4 linked regions of the Coturnix japonica genome follow. The protein of the gene in region 2 interacts with the protein of the main gene of each other region in a pairwise test. Links are inferred from orthologs where the notes say so. Each region holds a gene or a part of one and is shown on either strand. Other genes may lie near its edges. The genes, in order: TRIM23, USP20, BEND7 and VAPB.

Region 1 (6,849 bases), on a different chromosome or scaffold from region 2:
CAAACACAGCGTGTTTGGACGGGTGACTAAAGGAATGGAAGTTGTTCAGAGAATCTCTAATGTTAAAGTCAACCCCAAAACTGATAAACCCTATGAGGATATCAGCATCATTAACATCACAGTGAAGTAAGTCAGGTGGTGAAGGTTCCAGCTTAAACAGAAGAATGTCGTCGCTGTGGGACCCAGGAAAGAACACAGAAGGAATAAAAACTTTTTTGATGATTCCTGGATGTAGAAACTATTTTTCATGTACCTAAAGTGCCCTAAGCCTGTATTTCTTGGTAAATTTTCCTTTTTAAAATAAAAACATTGGCCTCTTTCTTACAAAGTCTACTGTTCTTCTTTGTCTCTTCTGTGCAAGACTGAAGATTCAAACACACACCATGGTTCATGATAACAGCTTTAGAACATGATCTGAGTACAGTCTGTACCTTTATTTCTGTCAGATAGAGGTCAGATGGCTAGTCATAAGCTCTTCAACAGTATACACACACATCAAAAATTATCAAATTATCAAAAATCAGACTGTAAGATAATGTAATCAGAATGTGATCAGGCTGTGCTAGGATCACATATGTAATTTACCTTATCTTCCAAGACAGTTGTGTACGTGTCCCTGTCCATTAGACTAAATGAACAAGGGATCAAATCACGCAGTAACAGTGTATTAAGTCCTGCACAAGTACTGGCATTGCCAGTATGATTTTCTTGTGTTTTTTTAATGTTTCATTTCTCATTATTTTAGCCCAGGCATGCTGTTGCTGGCTTGATTTTTACCCCCAAATCAGACAAACACTACAACTTTTATTAAAATACTTAACTGACATGGTTACTCACATCCAGCTGTTGTGAACCTGTGGCTAAATACAATCCTGTACTCTAAGATACTGTAGTGTTATTTTTGACTGTTGATGTCCACCTAAGACCACAAGATTCAGGAGCTTATGACTGTGATAGGTTTTGGTTGTTTGTTTTTTAAACAATTAACAGTGATGTAATGCACGCTAATCAAATTCAGAGCCTTTGGAAACTGCTATCCCAGGGAGGGAAACTGGCACAGAAGGGTATTCTGAGGAATTAGATGAGAATTTCACAGTATATGAAATGTTACCTAATAAATCTGTTGTCTTTCTAGTGCACTCCTATTATTAAAAGAAAACTAGATCTCCAGAAGTTTTAGATAACTTTATTGAAAAAAAATATCACTACTTTTTTTTCTGGGCAACTCAGTCTGCAGCAGCTCATTAATTATTTCCATTAACAGAGCCCTTTCTCTTCAAAAGTCATTAGGTAACATCCAACAGTTCAGAAATTAAACTGTCTCAGAAGGAAACCCTCACGTACCACACAAAGCACAATAAGTTTGAAGATGCATACGGTATCACCACGTCATGTGATGGGACAAACCACAGTTTTTCCAGTTATCCTAAGCACACTGTTACTGAGCCAAGAGTCTTTAAAGAAAGCCACAACATTGTCACTGGATGTTGCATTCGCTTAATTTCACAAATAACTCAATATCCCCACAAAGTGTTAATCAGTCTTTTCAAATAATCCTCATAGAAATGCTTGAGTAAGTTCTAGTTGAGGGAATCCTCCATTGCGCAAGTCAGTACACTGAAACTCAAGTTCTAGAGAACTGGTGAAACAAGCTTAAATTTGTAACAGAAGCAGTTTATATATAGTATTTATTAACTTATAATACAGACAAACCTCTTAGTGCACCAGTTTACACTCAAGAGTTCACAGACAAATGCAATACCTTCACAGTTACTTGAAGTCATCTTAAATAAATTCCACTAAAAAACACTTTATGGTAGTATTCCACACATCACAAGCAAGCAATCTTTTGTGCTCAAAAAGATGTACAAGTACTTTTCCTGTGCCCTCAAATATACACTTAAAAAAACCAAAACAACAAATAAGAACACAACTCACAAACTTTGAACATCTTAAAGCAGTGATTTAGAATCACAGTTCAAGGGGAATGTAAAACCGGCATATGCCCACTATAACAAAAGTACAGGTTCAAGTTTTTCTAAATAACAGATGTCTTCCCCGTATTCCAGAGAAAGGTACCTACCACACTTAGCAGAACTTGTTCGTACTTGAATAAGAGCTATGAAGGGACAGTCAGCACTAACTAGACCTGAAACTGCTCTGCAGGCTGAGCAGATGCCGAAGTCGAGAGCAGCCAGCAGCATACCGTGCAAGAACTTACAGGCTGCAAAGGAGAACCATTTTCAGCTTGGTGCTGGAAAAGCATCCTTCCGCCCATTGTAAACTATTTCTAGATTTATAAGGTTATCTGCAGGAAGAGTTATTACCCCTTCTCAGTACCTATACAGGCACTGAAGCCCTTTTAAGAAATTTCTACTATTTTAAAGCTTAGTGTTCTTTCAGCTACCATTCCAAGTCATTTGACCTGCTTAATCTGAAGCTACAATTCATGTTATTTACATGAGATACAAGAAATGAGAAAACTAAGAACAAATGTCATTATGTGGAAGTAGCTGCTTTAACTGCTTCCTCTCAAAGAAAAGTGCAAGCATACTTTATTATTTATTTATACATTCTTGGTTTTTACCTAAGGTACGTAGTGGGAAAAGATCATTAAGCTGCTATAATATCAAGAAAGCCATAGTCATAGATTGTGAAATATATTTTCTCTACCGGGTGAGGTTCACTGGTCAGTGTGTTTTTTACTACGACAGAAAATTCCTCCTACCTATCTGTGAAACAAGGCTGATCACTTCTACCACCTGGTTCCTCCTATTCACCTCAATTGCAGCAAGAGAAGTGACACTATCCTGTTTTGATCTATTGGCTTTGTTCTTTCTATCTCTCCTACTGAGATGAAGAGAGTCATGTGCTGGTTTCTTCAACCAGCAGTGACTGCGTATTAGAAGAGGAGGTCAGGAGATTCTTCAATGGATATCAGTCAGAAAAAAAACTGTTATCTGAATTGTATGTGTTGCAGATAAGGAAGATGCCTCTTAATGATCACAACCTTCTCTAAATTTAAAGTGTCACACCTGCATTTCATGAGCTTATGAAGGACTGACTGCTGAAAATGAAGACACAGCTGAATGTGGAACACGGAGTAAGAATTCATCTAAATACAGAAATTTTCCATCATATTTTGCCATCTGATCTTGTAAAGGCTGTAATTAGTGAACACTTTTTACATCACACTACCTAGTAAGTAAAGGCCACTACCTTATTCTGGAGGCTTGACTTCTACATAAGAGGACACAGATGGACCGATATTACACCACACTTCTTTAAAAAGGTGTGAGTTTTGTCATTTTTTTTCTAAACTTCACTTGACTTCTTGAGGAATAAAATTAATCTCTGAAGGCAGATTACATCCTCAAGCATTGACAATACATTTTCAATGTAATATCACTTTGTTCTATCCATAAATAATTTATAATGTGTAGACTTACAAAAAAGCACTAAAAAAAATCCCCTTGGAAATAGCCAGCTAAACAATGCCACCTGGCTGCATCGTTCTACGACACTGTTCCCCACTCTCAGTTTTCTCTGCCCTGTTGTGCTTCCTTACAATAAGCAACAAGGAAGCTAATAAATAATGCAGGACACATTTACCATTAGCATTATACCTGTGTGTAATTTTCAACACAAGCTTCAGATGAATGCCTTTCTTAGTTCTAAGAGAAGCATCATCTGTTTCTGGCTCACAACCAGAGCTGGCTATTCTAATAGCTTGCTATGAATTTTGGAGTAGTTTCTTGGGAAAGCATTTCTGAATCACTCAGAATTTTTCTGACATCAACTAACTACCGTAACCTTGTTATGGTTATTACATAAATTATAACGTATTTCATAAGAATTTAAAATCTTAACAAGCTAATTCCACCAAAAAGAATTTCAAGGCACTCATTTAACTAGCCCATTTAACTACTTGTACACATACCAAGTTTCAAAAAGACTAACTGCACAAGCTTACTGAAACAATTATCCAATCTTGCATGAACTCTTACATTTTTCTGTAACCGCAGAGCTGTCCCCTCTTCAGACAGCAGACTTGGTTACAAAATCCTAAATCATGCAAACAAAACAAAACAGTAACCTACAAACATCTGTTCTGAAATTAAGCCACATCCAGGACACCAGCAGCCACTAACTGCCTTGACAGCCAGTCTAGTCCTTCAAAAAGTCCTGTACCACTTCGAGCATCACAGCCCTGGATATACCAGTTACGGCCACAGCAGAGTTTGTGGAGACTCAACAGTTCTGTAATTTCTTCCGCTGAAAGTGCACCTGCTACGTCCTGCAACAGAACCAGACAGACTCAATTACTCTTCTGAGCTATGTTTGAAGGACTTTTCACTGATGGCTCAGACTGAGGTTATGGATCACATGAAAGCTTTCCAGACATGAAAGTCGAACAGTTACAAGTTTTCTATAAAGTATAAGAAAACAAAAACTGCCTATTGAATCTAGTAAGTACACCAGTATCGTTTATTTTCCAAAAATTAAACATAAGGAGAACACGTACATTTTTTCCTTCTCACATAAGCATTCCCTTTCTACAGAAAAGGATTCAGAAAGTTTGAATTTCATAAACTGAAGAGTGAAAAAATAAATAAAAATCACAAGTACCTGTTTATTAGCAAAGATCAAGAGCAAGGCATCCCGCAACTCCTTCTCTGTTAATAACTTTGCAAGTTCACTGTGTGCTTCACTGACTCTGTCTCTGTGACTACTATCAACAACAAACACCACTGCTATAAAAGAGAAATAAAACAAACATTACACTTTGTATACAAATGTATGCAAAAAGTCAGCTGAAACCTACAACTTTTTTTTTTTTTTTCCCTAGAAGTCCTCTATGCCAAATCTCTCAGCAGCAAACAACTTCACTTTCAAGACCAGGAAGACTGAGAAATACAATATATGCCAATATACGTCATAAAAAAAAATCTGCAATTCATCTTAAAACAAAGAAAAACTCTGCAGTTTTTAGTCTAGTCTAACAAAGTCTGACGTTTTAACTGTTTTGGTTTAAAACCTGATTTAAGTTGTGAGGATTGAGCATCTCCATTCAAACTATTTTTGATTCATTTCAACTGACTCCCACAAAAGTGTTTCAATCTGCCCTAGTTAGCAATAAAAACTCTAAAGTCAAATGAGTACTGCTTTCCTGAGCTATGGACTACACATAATAGAGATGATCTCCTTAGACCCAACACATCAGCAGAAAGTTTTACAGTACATCAGAGGGTAATGACAGTGCCTGAAAACTGGAGAGTTCAGAGGCAGAGCTAAAGGACAGAATTTAAGCTTGTTCTATTTTAATAAAATAAATACATAAAACATCCAAAATCAAACAAAACCTACTGCAGATATGCACCAACAGGACAACAGAAACCCAGAGTTAAATGTCTCCAAGTCTGTAAAGATGAGGGGATTGAAAGCGCTGAAGTTGGTAATAAAAGCTAAGTAATACACACAACAAAACACTTAAAAATCAATGCTTGTCACTCCTAAGTATTTCAGGCAATTTCCAGCAAATTTGTGAAGAGAAACCCGTTTCTAAATTGGAAAATAATTGTTGAGCACTTACAGAAGGATAACATTAATTTCCAAGTCAGCAATACTTATAATGAGGTTTACTAATAAACTGCTTAATTCTGAAATCTATAATCTGAAGCCCATGATACCAAGGAAGAAGTTATAAAACTGTAGAATTTTTTAAAGTTTACTTTAAAAAACTGATGCTCCTAAAGATGCTATATATATTAAAATCCAATCTAATAATACACATGCATTGTGTTAATGTTCAGCTCTTGCAAGAGAAACTAGATGCTCCTAAAGACCAAGCATTTTCATTTTTAGTGCTATTTAAAGTCTGTATCTGGCAAGCACAATTTCTCACTATGCAAACTTTGGAACACTGCACCTTGCCTGTTGTCAGACAAAACCTTAGATTCTAATTCTGTTTGGCTCCATGAACTGTCTGATGGGTTAATGCAGAATGCACCCCTGTCACAATAAACAACTGGATTAAAATATTTAGCTCATGAATCTAGCAGCTGAATTTTGCACTAGACAAACTGTTTTTTAACAGTTAAATACTCTACTAATAATCTTTTTGGTTCTGACATATAAGTTAAAAGACAAAACGTGGTTTAGAAGTTCTATTAGTCTCACCTTGGGTATTGAGGTAATAATGCTTCCACAAGGGCCTCAACTTGTGTTTTCCTCCAACGTCCCAAATAGTAAACTTCAGATTCTTGTATTCTACTGTTTCAACATTAAAACCTAAATTAAAAAATATTCAAGTTTTATAATCTTGTTCTACATGAACGTAAAAGAAGCAAATTCCACAGATAAATAAAACATTCAGAAAAATCTTACATTTAAATTGTTATGACTAACCTATTGTTGGAATTGGCTGCATGAATTCATCTTGCTTTAACTTAAACAAAATAGTTGTTTTGCCAGCTCCATCTAATCCTAGAGTCACAACTCGAATTTCCATTTTTGGTCCAATATGTACCCTGTTGTCCTGGAAGAAGCAGCATACAGAAAGTTAAGGATTTTTTTAACTTAAATTTCCTAGTGGGCAAGATGCTTATGTTCTTGCTGTTTGTGAAGTGATTAAGTGGAGGAACTCCAGAAGTACAAGGCACAGTCATCATCCAATCACCTCTAGCAATAAAACAGACCACAGTGTCCAGTGAATTCTGTAGTGAACCTGCAACTTCTGCCCAACTTATGTCTTCTAGAAAGCCATCCAACCTCATGTGTGTTTATATTTCAGGTTCTTTTGCCATGGGGCTTCAATCCAAGAATAAGCTGCTCATAGCAATTAGAATT
Region 2 (7,597 bases):
AAGGCCAACGTAGAACAAGTGTGACAGCCCAGTTCTAACTCCTCTCCCTGATCACAAAGCAGAACTGCTGCAGGAAGGGAAAACCACCATCTTTGGAATGATGTTGAATTTTCACTGAGGCCCCACCTGCTGTGCATAGCCTCGGAACATGGGGTTGACGAGTTTAATTCCATGAGACAGGCTGCTTGGAACGACATAACTCGGCCTGTTTAGGTATGGAGGAAAAAACAACAAAAGTTAATTTGCTTATCAGGCCTGGAGCCTGTGTAATAAGGAACAGAACAGGGTGTGGTAACTGGTTAAGGAGGACCCAAGATAATTATGCACCTGCAAAGCCTGAACTTAATTTATACATCACCGAGCTGATAGAGAAACCAAGAGAGAGAAAACTTCTCACAGTCATTTCACTCTCTCCTTCCAGAGAGAACCTTCCCTAGAGCATGCTTTAACTTGAAGCTCTGTCCACACCTGGAACTGTCTCAAGTGATTCTCCCCAGAGCAGGGTTTGGCAGTGGGTTACGTGGTTTGATTTTGCAGCAGCATGTTTGACAGGTGGGCTGGTGAGGGACCAACCAGTACTGAAGCAAGTCAAAACCAATATGAAATTGATGTAATAGTGCTTCAGCCTGCTGCATAAACACACAGAGCTGCTCTGCATCTTGCTTATCCCTTATTAGTGACTAACACAAAGCAAACACACGTTGCCACTCAGATTCCTGGCTTGATTTTTTCCCCAATTTATCTGTTCTCTGCAACTAATATCTTTAAATTTCAATAGAGCTGAGCTATTTTACATTGTGTTACACCAGTCTATAGTTTGAACCAATAGAAAACATTTCTCAACAAGTCACTTGTGTTTTTCATCTTCTGGTATAAGCTCAGTGTCAGATCTCTATCACAGATAAGGGAATGCATCTATCCCTGAAGGCACCATTTCTTTTTGCTGATAACATATTTCAGAACTAATGTAAATACAAAATCTATACACGTGAGAATAGTGTGACAACTCACCGTTTCTTATGCCAAACCTCAGACACCAACTTCTGGTAACTTTTGCATAGTGCTGGTTTTTTATCCGTACGGACCAGGCCACCACATTCCAGGAAAAACTGTGTGAGAGGTGGGCTGCAAGACAACAACAAGGATTCAGAGCACAGAAATTGCTCCTCTGCCTCTATTGAAAGACTGATCAAAGCTTAAATGCATCCCTTTTTGAAAGCATGCTTGTTTTTAAGTCAAGGGGAGAAGCGATTCTAGATGCAGACTTGATTTCTGCCTAGAAATGAACAAAGAAGGCTGATCTGAATCAATTCCCAGCACAGAGATCCTGAAACCAGCTGTCAGCAGAATGGCTAATGAAGATCTTACAGTGTGAGTTGTTAGAACGATACCACTGTGGAAAACAGAAAGATTGCATGTTTTCTCACATGGCAAACATGCTTCTGTCATGGTGGAGTTTTACTTCCAGCATTCATCTAGAGACAAGTCTCACACACAGCCACAGAGTTGGCTATTCACCCATTTTCCTACTGCAGAACTTCTGTTTTCCTAAATACTACATTGTTCATATTCCTTTTTCTGCAGCTAGCCTGGCTGGTTTATCCTTGCACGACTAAGGAAGGTGTCAGATCAGAGGTGCTACTGCTGATACGTAGTAAAAGACTCTACTAAAGGCCCTAATGCCTACCAGTTAGAGAGAGCCTGAAGTGCTGCATTCATGTAGCAGGAGTTCCCAAGATTTTTCATTCCAGTAAGGCCTAAAGCACAAACAAGAGAAGCATGAAACACTTTCCAGAAGTGCTGCTTTCTACATTCGTTCCCAATGGGAAGATAATGTGACCCTTTCTGGGCTCTGCACTCTGCTGCTAGGACCCTCTCAGTGCAGGTCCTACAGATTGCAGAGTCACCCTCACAGCTCTTCCATCAACTACATGCAGTTACCTCTTGGTTTCAAGTCATCGTCCTCTGATTCGGATTCACCTTCATCAGCCACTGCAATTGGAACAGCTTTCAGAGGGTGAGCAGGCAATGGAGAATCCTAGATTAAAGACAGAAAATAACCATCAGCAAGAGTCCTCCTTCAAAAGACGAGCTGCGAGAAGTATCTTAGGTGTAAACTCAGCCAGCCTTTAAAATGGCACACTCAGAAGAACCAGTTGTACTGCCTACCCTTCTCAGTAATGCATATAGAGAATGGAAATGGCACCACTACTGCTTCCAGTGTTAATAATGGAAGAGGCACTGGGAACATGCAGTGTCACAAGTAGACACGTTTGAAGTCTGACAGCTGATTTTTTATTTGAAATGAAGATATCACAGCTGTTGTGGCTCCTACCAGAACCAGATGGCCCATATAAGAAGCCAGGAGAGGTTAAAGAAAAACATCAAAATGGATATTCGAGTCGTTGGAAGCCTTCCTGCATGGAGAGTCTATAAAGCAAAGCTATTGGTCCTCTGACCACAGGCAGCCACCTTCAGTTGGAAGAGTTCCTACCACAATAGCAGCCTGAGCAACTTCTTAGCTAATTTTGCAACAAGGAAATAAAAAGCCTGCCAAGCATTGAGCCCTGCCAGGCTGACACACACCCACTGCTTCACTCAACTTTACCGAGGGTGACTGCGTGTGCGCCGCCAGCCGCTGGTCCAGGAACACCTCCTTCTCACAGGCATAACACCAGACCCGAAACGTGGTCAGATTCACTGTCAGGTTGTGCTTTTTGGCCTAGAAATAAAAAGGTGAAGTAATGATTTGAATGGTGGGACAACTTGAAGTGCAGAACGACTAAATTCAGGCATAAGAGGATTAGGTAACAGGAATAACTCAGCTCTCTCTGTCTTTAGATGGACCATAATGAAAAGCTTACCTGTGCATGAAGGGTGCTATGGTCAGAAAAGGACTCCCCGCAGCCAACATAAGGACACCCGATCTAGTGAGAGAAAGCAAAACTACAATGGCACACCAAATGAAACCCTTCACAAAACAGTCTGCAGCCCCAACCCCACCTACAGCTGCAGCTTCAGAACTGATCTTGCCACTCAACTGTTTTTCTTTGCAGGGCTTAGAATAAGGCAGATGACTGGAATTGGTTAATTTAACAGAGAAAACCTGAAATCAGTTTGCACCCACGTAAGTCCTCATTCCAAGACAACTGCTCCAACAGGTTCATCTGACCAGACTAAATGTCCAGGCACTCCAATGTCAAATCAAACTGCCCCTGCCCACCCACACACCCTCTGTCACTCCATTCTGCCCCAAACACCATCTTCAGAGCTCTCACTCTTGCAGCTTCCCCTTGCAGCGGATATTTCTATTGTGTTCACCCATATTTGCATCCATCCCTTCTTGTTTGGTCCAATACAGTTCTTTGTATACACTGAACAGAAATCCCACCGTGTCATGCACACGAACATCAAGCTGTTCTTACCTGAAGACAAGCCCAGAGGTTTGGTCCCACAGCTCCACATGACTGGCAAGTTCCCTGTGTATTCACAATGATAAAAAAATAAGCTTTGTTTGCATGTCTGTCTTTTAAGTAACCCCATCCTTCAGCAGTGAGAAACTTCTCAATGCGACAGGCCTCCCCCGCCTGCAGCTCAATGCACTGCTTAAATCCATGCTTCCAATGCCACGCTTTGCAGTGTGTGTTAGATAAGTGGCGTGTTTGAGCAGGATAAAACGTCAGTGCGAAATGCACCAGATGGGACTGACAAAGGCTTATTGATGGGCCACGTGCAAGGTACAACAAGGGTGGAAAAAAGAGTTTCTGCCTCTTCTGTACAGCAAATAGAGAAGGGGTTGGTAACCAGAACACCCCGTACCTTGGATTTGAGCAGCAGATCATCTCTGGTCACCTCTCCTATGGAATCCAGGTGAGGGCAGATGTCTCTCGTATCCCCCATTGTCACTGCAGGAAGGTGATTTCCTAGGACAAGAAAAGGCAGTTCTGTTTGGTTACAGTCAGCAGCCCACCATACTGGTGTCTATGGGCATTAAAACCATGACTGCTGTTTAAATGAAGCTCCACAAGAGGGAACTGGGCTTAGAAGACCTTTAACTGATAACCCACCTTCAGTGTTTCAGGAACTGCTCATTCAATAGGTGGATTTTGAACAACTCTCAATGAATGCATGGAGCTGTTCTGCGCCGCTCACACAGCCCAGCACTGAAAGCACAGAGGATTTCACAGCTGTGTGCTTACAAACCCCACAGATAGTCTTATAACAGGGTCTGTGCAGCCATCCTGGACTGAAGGAACAAAGCAGACCTGGAAGAAGGGATCACATCCCTGCACTGCAAACACAGCAGTGACTGCAGGCAGCACCTGGGATGAGCTGCTTAACAGCACTGAGAAAGCTCAGGAGCTGCACAGAGAAGGGAAAGGCTGCCACGTAACAGGGATTTAGAAGACAAGCAATAAGAGCACAGTGACTGACGCATAAAAGTGGGACACTTTCAGGCTCTGTGAGTGCATCAGAATAGAGTCTTTTTCTCCAAACACATCAGCACAACCAGCTCTAAATCCCACCTATCAGTGCCACGTCTGCTCTTCCATCTCTCTCCATTTCCTCACCCAGAAAAATCAAATAAACCCTTGTTTTTAAACGAAATCGGGGACCTCTTCAGCTCCCCCCACCTGAGCCTGTATTAGATCCCACGGCATTAGATCACACAGCCCCGTTCCCAGCCCAACACCGCGATGCTGCCGGTCCCTCCCGGCCTTTTCCTTTGCGAAATAAACCGAAAAACGTCACTTTCAGCTCCCAGCAACAACGGGGCTCATTCAAGAATCGTTCAGCTCATTCCTCACCGCCTGCAGCCCGCGGGGCTCCCAAGCATCGCTCATCAAACCCGGCGTTACACAACGAATCCCCCGTTACTCGGTGGGGCCTACGGGCAGCACGGAGCCGGACAAGCCGTGACCAGCGTTTTTACCGGGGATAACCCACCCCAGGCTGAACGTTCCCCCCCGTCCCATTCTCACCTGCTGGGCCCGACCCTGCGGTGTGTAGGGCTGGATGGGAGGCGGTGCTGGGGCCCAACGGAGCCGCAGGCACCGGGTAGAACCGGGGCGGGGCGGGGCGGCCCACAGCGCCCGGTGCGGCCTGCCAGGCTGCGGTACGGCGTCGGAACGGAGAATAGACGTCATCATATGGCGTCGTAAGAAGAGAGAGAGGAGGGAGGGGGGTGAAAAATGGCTGCCAGGGCGTTCAGACGGCGGAGGGAGGAGAGCGAGGAGGATGAGGAGGATGAGCAGCTGGCTGAGGAGGTCAGGTGAGCGCAGGGGATGGGGGCTGTGTGCCTCCCTCAGCTGAGGGAAACGCAGGAGCCATGTGGTTCAGGTATTGATGTGCAAAACCAGCGTAGATTTGGTGTTTAACTGCAGGAATTAAAGTGAATTAAAGCAAATAGAGGCACTGAGTACTGAGGGCAGCGGTTTGGGTTTCTTTCTGCAGGTTAAAGCTCGAGGAAGCCAAAGAAGTGCAGAGCCTGAGGAAGAGACCCAATGGGGTGAGGTAAGGGCTGTGAAGGTTCTATCTGGTATTGTCATGTAATAGCACCCATCTGCTTTATGGAGAAGTAGCTCCATGTTCTCCCTGTGCCAAAGGGAGTAGAGGAGTTTGTGTCTAAGCCTGAAGATGGTGTGAATGGTGAGTTTGTCCAGGTGTGGAGCCCTCAGTACAAGAAAGACATGGAGATTTTGGAAAGGGTCCAGAGGAGGGACAGGAAGATGATCAGGGGGCTGGAGCACCTCCCCTATGAGGACAGGCTGAGGGAGTTGGGTTTGTTCAGCCTGGAGAAGAGAAGGTTGCGGGGTGACCTCATTGCAGCCTTTCAGTACCTGAAGGGAACTTACTCCCAGGAGGGGAGTAAACTCTTGGAAAGGGCTGACAATAGCAGGACAAGGGGAAATGGTTTTAAGTTAAAAGAGGGAAGATTTAGGTTGGATGTTAGGGGGAAGTTCTTTACTAGGAGAGTGGTTCGGCCCTGGAACAGGCTGCCCAGGGAGGTTGTGGATGCCCCGTCCTTGGAGGTGTTCAAGACCAGGTTGGACGGGGCCCTGGGCAACCTGATCTAGTAAAGGTGTATGTTTGGTGGCCCTGCCAGGCAGGGGGGTTGGAACTACATGATCCTTGAGGTCCCTTCCAACCCGGGTCATTCTGTGATTCTGTGAGTGCAGGAAAACATTGGTGTGAATGGTGAGTCAGGTGCAGGAAAGCACTGCCAGCCTGCAGAGTCTGTGCTGTATCCTAACTATGGAAAAATAGACTAAGATTGGAATTGGTCATGGGATGTATTTAGTTAGATTGCTTCTGTTCGGTTCACGTAGCAGAGCAGTAGGTTTATCGGGGGCCCTTTTATATCTTCTCTCTGATTTCCTTCTCTTTCATATAGCATCACTGATCAGCTGATGCAGTAGTTGAAATGGGCGCCAACAACCAGCTTTGTTCCTTTGCTGATTCACTGTAAAGCACTAAAATCTCTCTGCCTGAACTTCTCATCTTCCCAAGACGTTGATAGTTCGTCTACCCATAGGGAAGGACAAGGAAAAATGGCAGCTTAGTATTAATACAAGTGTTTGAGACCTGCTGCTTGATCTAGGGAAGGATAAAGAAAGACAGCATTGTTGGTAACACGTTTCCTTCTATTTCCTTCCTTTTGTCTCTTTCTTTATGGCTAACCAGTGCTGTAGCTCTGCTTGTGGGAGAGAAGTTGCAAGAAGAAGCGACACTTGTGGTAAGTGCTTGATACTTTTGTCACTTTATTGCTAAGATGTAATGATGTGTAAACGTTGGTGTGATCCAATTGATGGCTGTAGGATTCTGCTTCTCGCAGCCTAATGCTTTTTGTCCGTTTTTATCCAGATTTGGAAGACTAGCCTTAAACTAAAGGGAAGCTTCAGGGTTTTGTATTTTATCTTGCATTACAGGATGACCCATTTAAGATAAAATCTGGGGGGATGGTGGACATGAAGAAACTGAAAGAACGAGGCAAGGACAGGTGGGTGCTTATGAGCTCTGAAGGTCTTTCCCTGGACTAGAAGTCCCAGCTAGCAATAAATTAACCAAAAATTGTACTGCTTTGAAGAATGTAATATATTGCACTTCCACTGGCTGCTGCTACCTTAGCTTGTCAAATTAGTTCAACAAAAAACAACTGCAACGGTGTGGTTTTCATTTAGGATTAATGAAGAGGAAGATCTGAACTTGGGAACTTCCTTCTCAGCTGAAACCAACAGACGGGATGAGGATGCTGACATGTGAGTTGAGCTGCGTGTTGTCTGTGATGCTGAACTCTGGGCTGGGTGTCCTCTCAGTTTATCTGTATTATTTTGGATACTGAATGTCTCAGAACAACTTCTTGATTCTCACCTGCTTTTTCACCTTCTGGCTGCTAGACTTGAGAAGGCATTTTCATGCACAGAGTTGGGAGATGCCAGTCAACCAGCCAGTACAATGGTATTAAATTCCAGCAGCAGCCTTCCTTGATGGGTTATGGAAGAGCTTGGGAGACCTTGATCAGAGCTGCAGATATCTTGTTTTATGTTCTTGATGTTAGCTGACTGCTTTTGGATTCATTTCTCTCTCTCAGCCTTTG
Region 3 (7,632 bases), on a different chromosome or scaffold from region 2:
AAATTAGAACTCAAGTGATCTGGAAAAAATGAACACTGAACACATTGCTACAGTTTTACTGCATAATTTATCAATATATCTACAGTTTATCTTGCGTACATCAAATTAACCACAGAAAATGTGCTCTGTATCAGCACCTCCTAGAAAAAAAAATAATAATAAAATCAAAATAACTTTGTTCGCACTGGAGAGCTCAGATAAAATATTTCACAGATTTCAGGGAATAGCTGCGCCTGTCCTAAATTACTGTGTTCATTTTCACAGCAAATTATCCCACCAGATGCCAATTATCTGGCTTCTTGCTTTACAGACAGAAAGCAGATCCACGGCGAAAACTCCACCTTCCTAGAAGCCAAGCGAACTTCCAAACTTCATCTCAATGAGAAAATCAGCAAGATGCATCACAGGCACATCTTACAGCCATACCTCGATGTTAACAGCCTCTGAGTTCTGAGGAAAGGAGGCTTAAGGATATTTACTTATAGAAACTAACGCCTACGACAGGCATAACGATATATATTAGCATCTTATATTCTAATCTGTGTTACAGGATAGACACGAAATTAACTGTATTTCAAATGAAATAATATTTTGCTGTGAGGGTCTCTATTTTAATCACCAGCACGTGTGCAGTAAAAACAGCTTTGTTTACACATGTGTACAGAAAGAATTGTAATTACATGGAAAAAAACCCACCATCTAAGGGCAACTCTTGGATTCTATTTCTGACACTGCTACCGGCACGCACTTTGTCCTTAGGCAAGTCACTCAAGGCTGAACAATATATGCAGCGTCTTGAAATAGCTGCCTCATCACCAAGCTCCTGGAGAGCTGAAGCCCTCCCAACACTCTGTTAGTCCCCTGAAAACCAGTTCTTACGTTTACCTGCCTCACAGAAAGCCAGGTAGGGATTAACTCCTGGAAGAGCATTTTGAAGGACTCAATTAAAAGGCACGAGAGAAAGGAAGGGCAGCAGCAGCAGCTCCTCCTCTGAAGAGGAACACACCTGCCTTTCTGACCTAACAATCAGCTTCAGAATTCTAAAGGTCTCCAACAAGTCAAACATTCTTTTTGTTACACGCTGTTTATTTGTACAGTGTGACTGTCATGATGGCTCAAGAGGAGGAACAACCCAGTAAGTAAACCAGAATCAAGCATAACGCAGCACCACAAAGGAAAGAAATGTCAGCAAGTTTTGGGGGTGGGGGGGGGTGAAAAGAACATACTGAAGTCAGCAGTGAGGTGTTAATCAAGTAAGTAGCGTTGGGGTTTTCTGAACCATGAAGTGGGAGAAAAGTATATGGGCTGCCTGACGTGTATGGGGTAAAGGTGAAATACAAGCTGCAGTATTGAGGAAGTAAATGCTGTAAGTATAGAATTTATGCAGACTGCACTCAGAGCCCATTAGCTTTTCTTTACATTTCCTTCTTTGCAAGTTCTGCTAGAGAGTGCACATAGGAACTCGGAATTAGATGACTTACAGATCTGCATACCTCAGACATACAGTTTACACGTGGTTTCTCCTCCACTTCTCTCTGTGCATCCAGCTGGGCACCATCCGTTTCTGCCCTACAGCTGCAGCCTGGAAGTCACTGCTCTGCACCCCAGAGGTGCACTCCCTCTCAATCTGCTCACCACACTGATAGGGTGCTCTGAAGCTTCTGGGGACAGACTGAGCACCTTAGATGGCAGGGTTATTAACAGATTGCATTACAGACTGATCCAGCATCCCATTTTCTCTTTGGTTTCCTTCTCATGCCTCGTGTCACAGTCCAGGCGCTGTGAAATCCATATCAATTTCACAACAGTAAACACTAAACTGTGACATTACTGAGCGACTCCAGCAAGAGGCAAAGGCCAATTACAAGAGACAACTATTTATCCATAATTAGCTTCATAATCAACTGTGATAGAAAGAGGCTACGTGAGAACAGACTCACATACAAAACGTGATGCTTATGCCCCCCACCCTCCAAGTGTGAACGCAGTCCTCCAGGATGCGTTTTTCTTTCAGCATGCCTTTCTATTTGAATCCCTACACCCAAAAGCAGACCCCAGGTAAAGTAAGAACCGCTAATAATTAACCACCATAAATGAATTTATCCAATTCAAACCAAGTTAAACAGATCACCTTACGCACTGAGGAATGTTTAATCCTGTTAGGACTGAGAATCTGCACAATATTAATACATTTGCCATAGAGCACACCTTCTTTTTGCAGCACTTTGAGGAGAGAAATAAAAACCGAGGCTTCAATTTCAGTTTTGTTCGGCTGCACGTTTCACTTTCCAGCCCTGCACAAACTGCCTCGGAACATCTGATGCTAAGAAAGCTCACAAAGCAAACCTATTCCTGATAGAAATGAACCCCCTCCGGTGGCTCTGCTGATGTTTACAAAACCTCCAATGAATTTCAGACAAGTCTGACCAGTCATTGTCCTTCTATTTTGAGCAGCAGCATGTGCAATGCTCCAAACCCTACTAGAGTTAAAGCAGTTATTTCAAGCGAGCTCGTTTCCACCTTCACGTTTCTCTGCTTCTCATCTGATTCTGCCACACTCATTTAAAGACCTCACCTCCCCCATTCAGCGAGTACCAAAAGTCACCCCCCCACACACACACACACTCACCCCTAAGCGCTGTATTATCCCAAAGCAGTCACCTGCCCTGAACTTGGCATGCACGACACACACAGCATTGCTGGCAAATATTTCAGCTCAAGACTTCAAGACACGAGAGGGGAAGGGGGGGGCAAAAAGATACATAGAGAGAGGAAAAATAAGAATTCTCCCACCAAATCAATGAGGACAAAAGAGACAATCAGCTGGAGCAGCTCGACATACCCGGCCAACACCAAGCCTGGGGCTGCGAGTCCACCTGTTAAAATGACTTCCAGCAGCTGTAGCTTTGAAAGCAAGCTCACAGAGGACTGAATCAAAGAGCTGCGTTTCATTTCCCGACATGAATCCCAAACATTTTCCCCAAGGATCCCTTTTAAAACAGTCTTCTTTTATTTATTTCCCCCCCCCTTTCAAAAAGCAAACAGGCACCAAGCGAACAAGTTACATGCCAGCAATTCCTCCTCACCCACGGACGATTAATTAGCAGCGTGGATTTTAATAAAGACACCTCGGTGGGGCTTCGCTTTGAAATACGTGCGTAGAGGAGGAAAACACACACACAACAACCCACAGGAGTTGAATACTAAAGAGCTTCGGTGCTGCCCAAGTGTCATTATTTCGCCTAATTCTCCATTTCACCTTTCCTTCCCTCCAACCCCCCCCCCCACCCCCCTCCCAAAGGAGGATTTGCAATGAAACGCGATCCAACTTTATTCGGTAGGAGATCACCCTGGAAAGAAACAAAACACGTCCACCTTTTGGGGGTGGCTTTTTCCTTCTTGTTATTTTCTTCATTTTGAGGAACGCAGAACACACACACATATATATATTTTACAAGGGAGAGAGGAGGGAGGTTAAAAAAAACACGATGAAATAAAGAAGAGCTGCAACGCTTGGGAGAGTTGATTCCAGAGTTAAATAATAAATACGAGGAGGGAGAGACACAGCCGAGCTGGAGGGAAAGGAGCACGCACATTTCATAACACCCCGATCCCAAACCCGGCCCCGTTTATGCAAAAGTCCTCTTCAGGCACAAACAAACAGACCAACGGCACAAAGCCTCCCCCCCTCCCCGCCGCCACTTTACCTTCGTTGATCAGTTTAAAGCTTTGGGATTTCCTGCTTCTCTTCCTCTCCGTAAACTCCATGGTGCGGGCGGGCGGGAGGGAGGGAGGAGGAAGAAAGGAGGGAGGAAAAAGGGGAGCGAGGAGGGCGGCCGCGCGGCGGGGAGCCGCAGGACCAAGGTCCGTCTTTTTAATCAGCAAAAATAAACGCGGCCCCGGGAGCTTTCGGCTTCAACTGCAAATAAAAGGATACGGGACAAGTTCGTTCCGTCCCCCCCGCCTCCCCGCGGCGCCGCCCGCCCTCCCAGGCCGCCCCAAACTTTGAGGGGGAAGCGGGGTGAGGCGGCGGGGGGGAGCCCGGGGCGATGCCGGCCAGCGGCGCCGCCGCCTCCCCCGCCGGGTGCGCGGCCCGCAATGGCTCTGCCGGCACCGGGACCCCGCTGCCACCTGCTGGGGAAAGGCGGCGAGCCCCACCGAGCGGGCCCCGGCTTGTTTCCGCAGGCCGCCGCCCGCCCTCCTCACAGCCGGCCCGCCCGCCGCCTCACGCCAGGCCGGGGAGGCTGTTGGCCCCGCGGGCGGCCTGGCCCCGAGGCCGGAGTGTGACCGGAGGGAGAGGGGCTGAGAGGGCAGCGCCATTTTGTGTCCCCCCCCCATCCCGCCTCCCGCCCGCCCCTGCACACCCCTGCACTCAGCCGCCTGCTGGCTCCCTCTGCCGCCGCCGCTTCCTACGAGCCACGCCGCTCCCTCAGGGCTCGGGGCCCCGGCTGCGACGGAGCGGCGGCCCTCGGTGCGGCCTGTGCAGCCTCGGGGCTCCCCGAGGGCCTGCCCAGGGCCCAAGGCTCGCTCAGGGCCGGAGGGGAACTTTGGGGGTGATAGGAGGCGATCCCAGCCGGGCCCGGGCTGAGCTCTGTGGTGGTGAGCTCTGTGGTATTGAAGTTGTTGCTCCATAACTGTGCAAAATCTAGTTCAAATACCCCAGCAGCAAGGCTGGGCTGGAGCCCACGAGCTCATCACAACCATGTGCCTGTTTGCAGAGTGCTGTCTTCTAAGCCAGGCTTCACATTCAGTAGTTAAACGTGATATCCCATAGTAAAGAGTCCCAGTCTTCTGTAGGAGTGCCACCCAGCAGGTCACCACAGCCATATGGATGATCCAGACGCAGCTGAACTTAATGCTTTATCCACCAGCTGATGCTTCCAGCCACACTCCTGGCTCGCTTATTTCCCTTACGTTACACTAAGTGCATTTCTGGTGCAGTTTTAGCTTTTACAGCATAGCGTGCCTACAGAGTACCCAGACACCGTTAACCAAAACACAGCTCCCAGTCTTCATCTTGTGTTTTACATGTAGTCAGGCTGTGTCATGACAAGGAGAGGAGTAAGTGATAGATAGCTACATGGTCACACTTGAGCAGAAGCCGATCTCTTGGTCTAATGAGAGTACCCAGGAGAATTCTATTGGCTCCAGTTGTATTGACTGACCCCATCGCTTAAGGGTTAGAAAATTGCTCAGAGGAAAACGAATGTGAATGTTAACAGTAGTTAATATTAACAATAATGATAATTAATAACATTATTTGTATCGTAGTGCTGCTTACAGACACAGACCTGAACTCACCTGTGGAAGGTGCAGTCCAAGCATCACATGGAGAGAGTATCCACAGTTCCAAAAAGGCAAATGGGCTTAATGGTGAAGCAATATCAGAAAATATGCCTAATGGTAAAAATTTATTAGACTCTGGAAAATTAAATTCATGAGGGAGGTTATGGAAACCTTGCAGATTGGGTAAGGGTGTAATTTTCTATTAAATTGCTAAGTGGAAAATCCCAGAGGCAATCAATATGCTACTTTTGGAATTTTCCTAAACTTCTCTGTAAGACTTTGTGAGAGGAAACTGGGCTAACGTACTATTTAAAATCCTGCATTGCATATTTTTGGGTGAATGCTGAAGCAGCAAAGGTAGTTGGATGTCAGACGCTGTTTCCTAAATGATGTGGGTCCAATTAATCTCTGGGCGGGCGCAGTGAAGTCAGATCAGAGATCAAGAAGCACCGCGCCTGAATTTTGTGTACAAAAAGAGTTGTTGTTCTTTTTCTTTTCTCCCCCAGTCTGCTGATTCCTGTCTGCTAACTGCTAACTCTATTTACCAGGCTTAAAGCATTTGACTCTCATCTGTACTGGGACAATAGGAGTTTTATGGGACATAAGGCCTTCGTTTACTGCTCAGCTCACATGATGGGCCTTCTCCTGTGTTTGCCATTGGAATGTGCTACCATCTTGTGGTTTTCATTTAGGAAAGTCTTAGCCAGATTGGATACCAAGGCTGTGATCCCGCAATCACATTTGCATAAAAGCAAATTAGAAACTAGGACAAGGTGACTATAGGTCAAAGCCTTCTAGTTATCGACAGAATGTGTAGGAGGATCCAATAACTGCAAAACAATTGTTCCATCCTATACTGCTAATGTTGCTCAGCCATGAAGTAATAAAATAAAATACCTCAAGGACTCAAAGGCTACTGTAGTGTCCATCTGCAGTAAGTTGCAAGCCTCTTTTGGGGGTGTTTTGGGGCTGGTAACCTACAACTAGACTGAGTTGCCATGGGCCACCGTTCCAATATAGCTTTTTATGGTGAAGTATTGGCACAGGTTGCCCAGAGAGATGGTGGATGCTCCATCCCTGGGAACATTCGAGATCACACTGGATGGGGCTCTGAGCAACCTGATCTAGTTGATTCTACCATTATTGTAGCTGGAGAAACACAGGGATGAAAGTTGCCTTAATTCCTTGATGCTTTGTGTAGTTCCAGCTCTGTGGAAGCCAAGTGACTTACGATAAAGCGTACTGGATCCAGAAAGAGCAGTTCAGTCAGCTGATGGGTTCATCTTTTATTTCATTTAATGTCTCGATATTGGATTATTATCATTACATATTAAGAAACCATAGTTCATTTTCTTTGTTTTTCCTGGTGAAAATATGGGAAATTCAGCACACTTTTACATATACATAAGAATAGTCACAAAGTGTTTCCTCAATCAGATCAGCCATTGAGTAATGTGTATTTCAAAATGCCGTGAAATTAGCTAACTAAATAAAGGCTTTGTCTTGCAACATACTTCAAGTCGTCCTGATTATCCCTGGCAATTTCCTAGTTACTATTTTATTGTTACTTTCAAAATAGCCCCTCCTCATTCTGACTGATACTAGTTGTACTGACAATCAGCTGCTTTGCGTAGTTACTAATTTATTTTACGTGTAGATCAATAACCAATCAAATATAATTATTCAGTCATATTTCAGTATTAACAACAACAGCGATCCTTTACATCAGGATGCCCTAAACTATTCCTTTGATTCCAGCCTCATCTGCAGCACAGGTGTGTGCAGTTACAACGCTTTGACTATTACTCTTAAAGTGAGATTGCATAGGACAAAACTGACTGAAGAATCCTAGACCAGAGGAGAACTGTACTGCTCTCTGAAGAGATCTTTCAGCTTTTCAGCTGAAAAATATATATATATAAATACAGAAAAAAATTGTTAAAAACTTGATCAGAGGTTTTACTTCCCGTATCAAGGAATCAACATAAGGTTGAGAGGAGTGGGAAGAGTCTGATGACTGTCCTATTTGTGACGTGATTTCTACTCCTTTTGGAATCTGAGGAAGTTCAAAGTGGCCTTGGAAAGGAAGAGGAGAGTGAAGAGGTAAACTAGAGATCATAGGTGTTGCATAGTTGCATAGGTGACAGGTTAATAGGTTAGCTATGCCACTTAGTTACATTTAATGGATATTGTTGAAGATTTTATGAAACCTAGTAGCAATTTTCCCTTGCAGGTTTCCAGTGATGTTTCTGTAGCCATGTAAAATGTCTATGCATTTCTCACCTTCCAATCTAAACTGACTCATCTTGGCGTCTCACTGTCTTACTACCAACCTTCCCTTCTAGG
Region 4 (7,540 bases), on a different chromosome or scaffold from region 2:
ATTTTTCTAGCCCACTCTTGTGCAGCTCCTCACCCTGTCCCTGTGGACTTGACAGTGTCCTGCATCCATGCACAGGGCACCAGGCAGCTAAAGCAGCACAAAGCAGCCCTGCCTCAACTTACTCCACCTTTCCAAAAATGAGCTGCACCATCAGTCAGGCACCACGTGTCCCCTCCTGCCTTTACCCTCAGCTCCTTCCCTCCAAGCACTGCTCTTTTAAAGTGAAGAGTCTGTAGAAAGTGATGAAGTAATTATAAAATTAACGCATATGAAATCAGAATAATACAGGGAGATGCAAGCCTGTCCAACTATAATGAATGCTTAATAGTTAGAATAAGCTACTAATTTTGCCAAAGTTGCAGTAATAGCTCGCATAACATGAACTGCAAATATTTAAACGTGACTAGAAAATGAGCAATGAAACATAGATTCACACAGATTTATGAGGGCTGTTACTGAAATACTGTGTTCTCTTTTTAAGTGTAAAACTTGGTAATTAAATTCAAATATGCAGAAGGATGTGAGGGCTTACTCCTATTTGATCTAACAGCAATTTTATTAGAAATAGGGCAGAGAAGAGGGCAGCAGGTTTTCCAGCAGAAGAGCAGCCATTGGCACAGCCTCGGAGAGCAAGGAAACCCAAGCACTGACTGCCATTACACTGCCAACACCAGAAGGGCTCTAACAGTTAAAAGGAAACACCACATAAATTCTCAGCTTAAAAGATGCATATTAATTACACTAAAGAGGCAACTTCTCACAACACTGTCAGCATTTCGCAGCCATAAACAAAGCCTGTTCCGGTGGCAGCGATGAGAAATCCCTATTTATCCAACACAGGATGAGCACAGTCAGATCCCCGCGCACACAGGCTGCAGCAGGGCGGCAGAGGAGCTGCCAACTGCAGTGTCTATGAAGTGCTGAGCCTCTCCTTGAGACCGCTGTAACATAAGCACATCAGGCCAACCACCCCCATGCACTGCTGGGCTGAGCAGCCTCAGCTCTGTACCTGCATTCAAGGCCAGGCTGGATGTGGCTCTGGGTAACCTGGTCTGGTGGTTGGCGACCCTGCACATAGCAGGTGGGTTGAAACTAGATGATCACTGTGGTCCTTTTCAACCCGGGCCATTCTATGATTCCACAATCTGTCCCACAGGAGGTCTGCACACCCGCTCTGCCATGCACAGACCTGGCTACAGCGTACAGATGCACATGGAGCTCCAACTCTCCTGCAGTACAGCAGCCACTGGTCTGTGCCATGCAGGCTGCAACCAGCACTGCAGGAAGGCCCCAGGGCCCAGCACAGCCCTCCCTGGAGGGGAAGCAGCATCACCAGGCCTGCAGCTTCATGGGGAGCTCTGCCCGTCCTGCTCTATTGTTGTGGCCTTTTCCGCACAGTCACACAGAGATGTATCGCACGCATGCAGGTGGAAAAATCACACGCTGGAAACGGGAAACAGCATTTCCAACAGGCAATAATTTATGCTGGCAAGCAAGGGATAATTTATCCTGGCAGTACTGCTACTTGCCACTTGGGGAGCAATGCAACAGTGAGTGCTGAGTCATTAGTCCCGGCTCACCTGGAGCGAAGCCCCCTGTGTGTGCAGGGAGCAACCTCAGGGGTGAGAGCCCTCTGCCAACCTCCATCATGACACTGAGCTGCAGAGAACGCAGCATTCAAGCAGCTAAAGATCCAGGCATGTTGTAAAATGAGTTATAATCTAACAGTATTGTACTTGCTGGAATTAAATCTCCTCCAGGTGGGCCCATGCCGCCAGAGGATGGATGTGCTTCACCAGGAACAAGGCAGCGTCATACAGCAGAGACATGGCACTGCAAGGAGCGGTTTTATCAATGTGCTTCACAGAAGGCACCAGAGCTGCACAGCCCTACCTGAGCTTGCAGGCAGTACCTTCAGCCAGGCCCCTGACCACTGCAATCTAACTTACCATCCTCAAGCAGGTCATTGGATGCTCTTTAGTCCTAGATTAACAGAAAAGGAAACGTACATATGGAACAAATATGGTCCTTTTCATCGCTCATTACCACTAAAGCCTGAACAACAGCCTCGTGCTTTTCTCACCCAGGCTGCAGAACTGTGCTGACCAACCAGAGGAAGTCAGAGCTACCAGCATCAAAGAGCACAGCGAGGAGCAGAGCCCCAGTACCAGGAGGGGCACATCCTGCAGCCTGTCACTGTGCTACAGCACACGGCCGTGCTATTTTGGAGCACACGTGTGATGGTGTAGGAGGAGGAGGTGGGGAGGAAAGACAACCCCTGTTCATGTTCACATGCTACAAAAAAAGCGTTCTGGCACAAATATCTCCTCTGCAAAAAGACACAAAGGCGGTGTTGTGAAAGAGAGCTCCAAGCACGCTTAGAGGAATTGCTGCAAATGAAGGGCTACAGAAGACTCCTAATAAACATCTTCAAATCCTTTAATTGCAAGCGCTGGCTGACAGAGACTGCTGCAGTCCTGCATTGGGACACATAGAACAAACCTTCACTTTGGGATCTTATTCCTACATCCTACTGTCAATGTCACACCTCCCTCTTCAGCTTAAGATTCAAGAATCATGCTGTAACAACAGAGCTGCTAACAGTCTGCTTTATCCATCCCACTGCATTATGACCAAGGCTGCTCCCCACTCCTGGTGCTGTGGTACCCAGCCTATGGTCTCACCTCACCAACACCGCTGCCCTGAGTTTTCCATGCACGGCAGCACCGCCGCCGTCTGTCATGCATCAACTCGCTCCATGCAGAGCGATGCTCTGCAAATAAACACCGCTATTTACAAAGGTGAGAAAATCACAGCTGCCACAGTGCCAGGCAATATGCCATCGCAAACTGCACGACGGGGACTGCTTAGGGCAGACGTTACTTGGTGAAAGCTTCAAACGGGGCCTTCCTGAATGAAGGGCAGCGGTCAGCACTCCTGTCAGGAAGGACTGTAGGGCAGAATTTATGGCCCAGGCAGATGAAGGCTATCCGCAGCATTAAGCCTATCTGAACATTAATATTTAAGCACGCATTAAAACTAAGCCATTTGCTACTTGCAGCTAGTCAAGCTGTGTTTTACATTACAAGGAATATATGTTGCTGGCCGAAGGTTGGACACAGAAAAGCTCCGTGGCTGGTGGATTTAACACCAGTGGCTCCTGATGGCAGACCCAGCAGCACTACCCCAATAAGCAGCCAGCCTGATTCTGTACCTGCCTGTAAAGCACAGCCTCAAACCACAGCCACAATCTCACCACTGGTCAGCACCAACTCAGGACACACGTTTTGCCCACCCGAGTTTGGATCTTTCTTCTGGTTGGAAGTAACGTTACTTGCATCCAGAACAAGATGAAAATCAGCCCTTAGCATAAACAATATTGGAACAACAGTTTACTTCTTAAGCATGTTTGATTCTGCTGCCATAACAACATGCAAACACTACAGCTTACCACAAGGACACGTTCATTCCAGACAGCATTTATTACCAGGCTTTTTTGATAAGCCCACTCTGCACTATTAGTCCTGATGTGTTTATTGCTAAAACCGGGTAGAGGCTTCCCCTAAGTGTAAAGCATTACACGAAAGCCTTGCAGATAATGAGCAGTTTAACCCGGCGCCAGCAAATAAATCACTATTTTTAAATAAAGGCTCGTGGCCAGGTATTCGTATGAAGCCGTGAGTACCTCTGACTCCGGGAGCATAAATAAACTTGCCGAATGCTTCCTGGTAATCCCCGAGCGTTGTATTACAGCAGCACTATCTGTCAGGTTACAACCTTGGCATTTCAATGCCAGCAGTAACTCAACCCCATTCAAAACCTTTATTTAACAAAAAACCCCGAGTTCTGCGCAGTCAGACGGCGCACAGTGCACACACCTCATGGGGTGTTACGAGGCGCTGAGCACAAAGCACACAGCCGTGTTTCCCGCATGGAGCGGCCCCAGCCCCGCACTGACAGCTCCGCGTCCCGCAGCGCCTCGGGGCCGGATCTCAGCGGGCAGCGGCTCCGCGCTACGTCAGCCGCCCAACCTTCCCGTCCCACCACACCTCCGCGCAGGCCGAGGCCCCTCCCGACGCCCGCGGTTCCCTTCTCCCCCGCCTTCCCGCTCCTTCGAGGCCCGGCCCGGGGCCTCGCCCTGCGGGGAAGGTCAGCACGGGGGAAGAGCGAGCGGGGCCGTGATGCCGTGAGCCGGGAACAGCCGGGAGCCGGGACCTGCGGGCGGCGGCCGCCTGCCCCCACCCCGCGCTGTCCCCATCGGGCCGGGCCACGCAGCACCGCCCGCAGCGCGGGGTGGGTGCGGGGGCACAGAGAGGCCCGTGGCGGCGGGGATCCCGAGCTGGGAGCCGCCTCTTCTCTTCCCCCGGCCCCGCCCGGGGATGCGGTTGAGGCCGCGGCGATGAAGGACATTTTCGCGGCGTCGCCCAGCCCCGGCCCCCGGAAAATGGCTGCCGCCGAGCGGGGCCTGAGAGCGGCCGATCCGCGGGGCCGGAGCGGGGCAGCGGCGTAGGACGGGCGGATCCGCGTTACCTTTGAATTTGAGCTCGTGCTGCGGTTCCAGGCTGAGGACCTGCTCCGCTTTCGCCATGTTCCTCCTCCTCCTCCTCGGCGGTGGCGGCACCAGGCGGAGAGAGGAAGGGCCGGGGAGGGAGGGAGGGAGGGGAAGGAAGGAAGGAAGGAAGGAAAGGGGGGAGGGAGGAAAGGAGGGCGGGCAGGGCGGTGCGCTCACCCCCCCGCAGCGGTGAAGGGAGCGGCGCTGCGGGCGGCGGAGCGGAGCCGGGCCGGGCTGGTCGAGGACGGCGGGCAGCGAGCACCGGGCTGGGCTGGGAACGAGGGAGGAGGAGGCGGGGCGGAGCGGGGCGGGGATGGCGCAGCGCGGAGCGGGGACGGGCTGCGGATGGAGCGTGAACCGCCGCGGGGATGGGGGCGGCTCCCGCTGCGCTGGGGCGGGCGGAGGGGACGGAGGGGAGCAGGGATGGGAGCTGGGTGCAGCCGGACGGGGTGAGGGCAGGGCAGGAATAACCCACGCGGTTCAGTTATCATGGAGGTGCTGGTGCCGCTTTAGCACCCGGTTCTGTTCGGACCCCCGGGCGTGGCAATGTCCGAGCAGCGCTGCGGGGCCGCCAGTGACTCAGCTGCTCCCGAGCGCTCCTCCACGATAAGGGAAAGAACAACGACGGGCCGAGCAGCGCCCGACCCGCAGCGTCAGAGAGCGGCTGTGCACGCAATGAGAGCCGAAGGGAACGAGGGCGTGAGTGCAGGGCAGGAGCGGAACGGGACTGGGAAACTGGCATCAAGCGCTAGGAAACGCTACCTTGGTCATGAATAAAAGCATCATTAAAGTCAGCGCAGTGGGTTTAAGGCTCTCCAAGAGTAAACGCTAGAAAACACTCTATAAAATAACTTAAATGTACAGGTTGGTCTGAAATGAAATACTGCTTTATTGGTGGCCTCAGGCCAGGGCAGTACAGCAGCTTACGTCCTCCAGACCCACTCCTCTTCAACATTCCAGAAGTTCATAAGAATCCATAATCTGTTTCTGTAACACACCAGACGGAGCAGGACCACGGCTTTAAGGTCCTAAAACCTGATTGCTTCAATACAAGTTAATGGTTTCCTAATTGTTTGCCAAAAAAAAAAAGACAAAAAATGGTTAAAAAGAACTGGAATAAAAGGGCCGTCGGCACTGCTGGCAATGCAAATGACTGATGGACACGTTAAAATTAACACCACTAAATGGGACGATGACATTCAGTGCTGTAAGGAAGCCTGCACAGTATGTCTGCAGTATTTATACCACATCAACACTTCAGCTGCTCTTGTCCATGAGAATCCTTGTTTTTCACCCAGTGTCACCTACAAACACGTTTCATCCTTTGTGGTTGTTGCAACTACTTTCATTCCACACCAAAATAACCCCCCGTATGTATTTAGTACAACTTCATTTTACATCATGCAAATGAAACTTGGTAACACTTTCTAGCCAATAAATACGGCAGGAGTTGTTAGGTAGCAACATGCTTAAATATCCATAACTGCTGCTCTACCATAACTTCCTTCTCTGTGTTGGAGAAAAAGTGGTCACAACATCACATATGTGAGTTGGTTAGGGGTTTTTTTTATATATCTGTGCTATTCTACTTTATTAGATTTGGAGCCCAGGACGTCCTTATTATTTTTGTTATTTTGAGGAGTCTAATTTATACTATAAACTACAGATTATGTCATAAGATTTTATTAGACCTCAAATTAAGAAGTGATTCAGTTCACTCACATTTTGGAGTAGAGTTTTTTCTTGGCTGATATTCTGGAAACATGATCCTCTTCCATGTCATCTCTTTGATTGTTTTACTTTTATAAACAGATTCTCTCCCTGCGCTATAAAACACAGCTGTCCATAAACATCCCAAGTAATTGGTAGAAAGAGATAAGCTTTATATATATATATATGCAAGTTAATTGGAACGTAATGAGAAATAAGACAGAGGAAACCTTATACAACGTACAGTCATACGTAATAAAAGTCCCCAAAGCAAACAACAGCTCAGCATTGCTGCCTGCACCCTTCCACGTTCTGCTTTTTCTGACAATATAAAGTACAGCCTTCAGTGTTGGATGCTAAAGGCTACGCCAGGCTGGAGCACCTTATAAGAGCAGATTGCACTGAGCAGCTCTGAACTTACCTGCTTGGATAGCGAGGACTCCCCTGTGTTCATCCATGCTGAAACACATATAGAACACAGCAGGTTTTTTATGCAAAGTGGACAACTTAGCAAGTCTAATGAAAGTAGTTTTCTGGTTGTATGTAAATGTGCACACAGTCAGTATCGTTCAGACCAGAGTAACTGAAATGGATCCGTGTCACAAAATCACCTGCAATGCCGCACCGTTGTCAGTTAACAAAACAACCTTCATCTCATTAACAGATCAGCCACTCCAAGGCTGGAAGGCACACGTTGCCAACATGCATTTCTGATTAACAGAAGGGGCAGATTGGGATGAATGCCACTGGGGAACTCTGAAAGGCACTAAGGAAGCTTTGGACAGCAGCGGTTTTAAAGAACACTTCTCTTTTACTTTAAATTCTATGGAAGTCTCTATCCACATTAAATGAAAACCAGGATACAGGTATTTCAGGTGAAGGAGCAGTTTTAGGAGCAGGATTCTGGGGGGCTTATGCCTTTGAAGGCTGCTGTCAACATGTTACATTGCATCACACATTGAAACAATAAAACTACATCTTTTAATCACCAAACAAGACAAGGGAGATAACTCTAGGCAAGCCCATATTTCTGTGCTGTACATAACAAAAGCAGCTTAAAGCAACCACAAAGAAAAAGAGGAAGCAAGCAAGCAGCAAATCAGAACAGAACCCTTTTAAGCACAGCAGCCCCCCAGAACACTGTGCAGATATTAAAAGCACTTCACATTCTGATTGACAGAAACCTGGTCTAAGCAGTCAAGAATTCAGCTTTTGATGCAGTCTAAGCTAAACGCAATGTATTAAATAACTTGATCCCATTAGAATCTGTCAGGCCTC

Evidence for each region.
Region 1: the proteins of USP20 (region 2) and TRIM23 interact in binary tests that used the Homo sapiens proteins (3 or more experiments, as listed by UniProt). The link is inferred for Coturnix japonica from reciprocal best matches to the Homo sapiens genes USP20 and TRIM23.
Region 3: the proteins of USP20 (region 2) and BEND7 interact in binary tests that used the Homo sapiens proteins (3 or more experiments, as listed by UniProt). The two-hybrid records come from large-scale screens. The link is inferred for Coturnix japonica from reciprocal best matches to the Homo sapiens genes USP20 and BEND7.
Region 4: the proteins of USP20 (region 2) and VAPB interact in binary tests that used the Homo sapiens proteins (3 or more experiments, as listed by UniProt). The two-hybrid records come from large-scale screens. The link is inferred for Coturnix japonica from reciprocal best matches to the Homo sapiens genes USP20 and VAPB.

The regions. Positions count from the first base shown.
Region 1 is NC_029547.1:14,367,132-14,373,980, reverse strand, and holds the end of TRIM23 (E3 ubiquitin-protein ligase TRIM23), read right to left. Parts: intron 6,539-6,849; coding exon 6,409-6,538; intron 6,292-6,408; coding exon 6,181-6,291; intron 4,755-6,180; coding exon 4,630-4,754; intron 4,298-4,629; coding exon 4,118-4,297; 3' UTR 1,167-4,117; downstream 1-1,166. Other genes in the region: PPWD1 (peptidylprolyl isomerase domain and WD repeat-containing protein 1), read left to right, coding at 1-130.
Region 2 is NC_029532.1:4,317,758-4,325,354, reverse strand, and holds the start of USP20 (ubiquitin carboxyl-terminal hydrolase 20), read right to left. Parts: upstream 5,111-7,597; 5' UTR 4,983-5,110; intron 4,164-4,982; 5' UTR 4,068-4,163; intron 3,924-4,067; 5' UTR 3,901-3,923; coding exon 3,820-3,900; intron 3,480-3,819; coding exon 3,426-3,479; intron 2,928-3,425; coding exon 2,865-2,927; intron 2,723-2,864; coding exon 2,609-2,722; intron 2,039-2,608; coding exon 1,942-2,038; intron 1,758-1,941; coding exon 1,688-1,757; intron 1,126-1,687; coding exon 1,012-1,125; intron 206-1,011; coding exon 127-205; intron 1-126. Other genes in the region: C17H9orf78 (telomere length and silencing protein 1 homolog), read left to right, coding at 5,193-5,272, 5,455-5,514, 6,685-6,736, 6,930-7,000, 7,182-7,259.
Region 3 is NC_029516.1:6,096,240-6,103,871, forward strand, and holds the start of BEND7 (BEN domain-containing protein 7), read right to left. Parts: upstream 4,042-7,632; 5' UTR 3,769-4,041; coding exon 3,708-3,768; intron 972-3,707; exon of another isoform or gene 886-971; intron 1-885.
Region 4 is NC_029535.1:10,121,887-10,129,426, forward strand, and holds the start of VAPB (vesicle-associated membrane protein-associated protein B/C), read right to left. Parts: upstream 4,714-7,540; 5' UTR 4,589-4,713; coding exon 4,531-4,588; intron 1-4,530. UniProt on the Homo sapiens protein: Endoplasmic reticulum (ER)-anchored protein that mediates the formation of contact sites between the ER and endosomes via interaction with FFAT motif-containing proteins such as STARD3 or WDR44.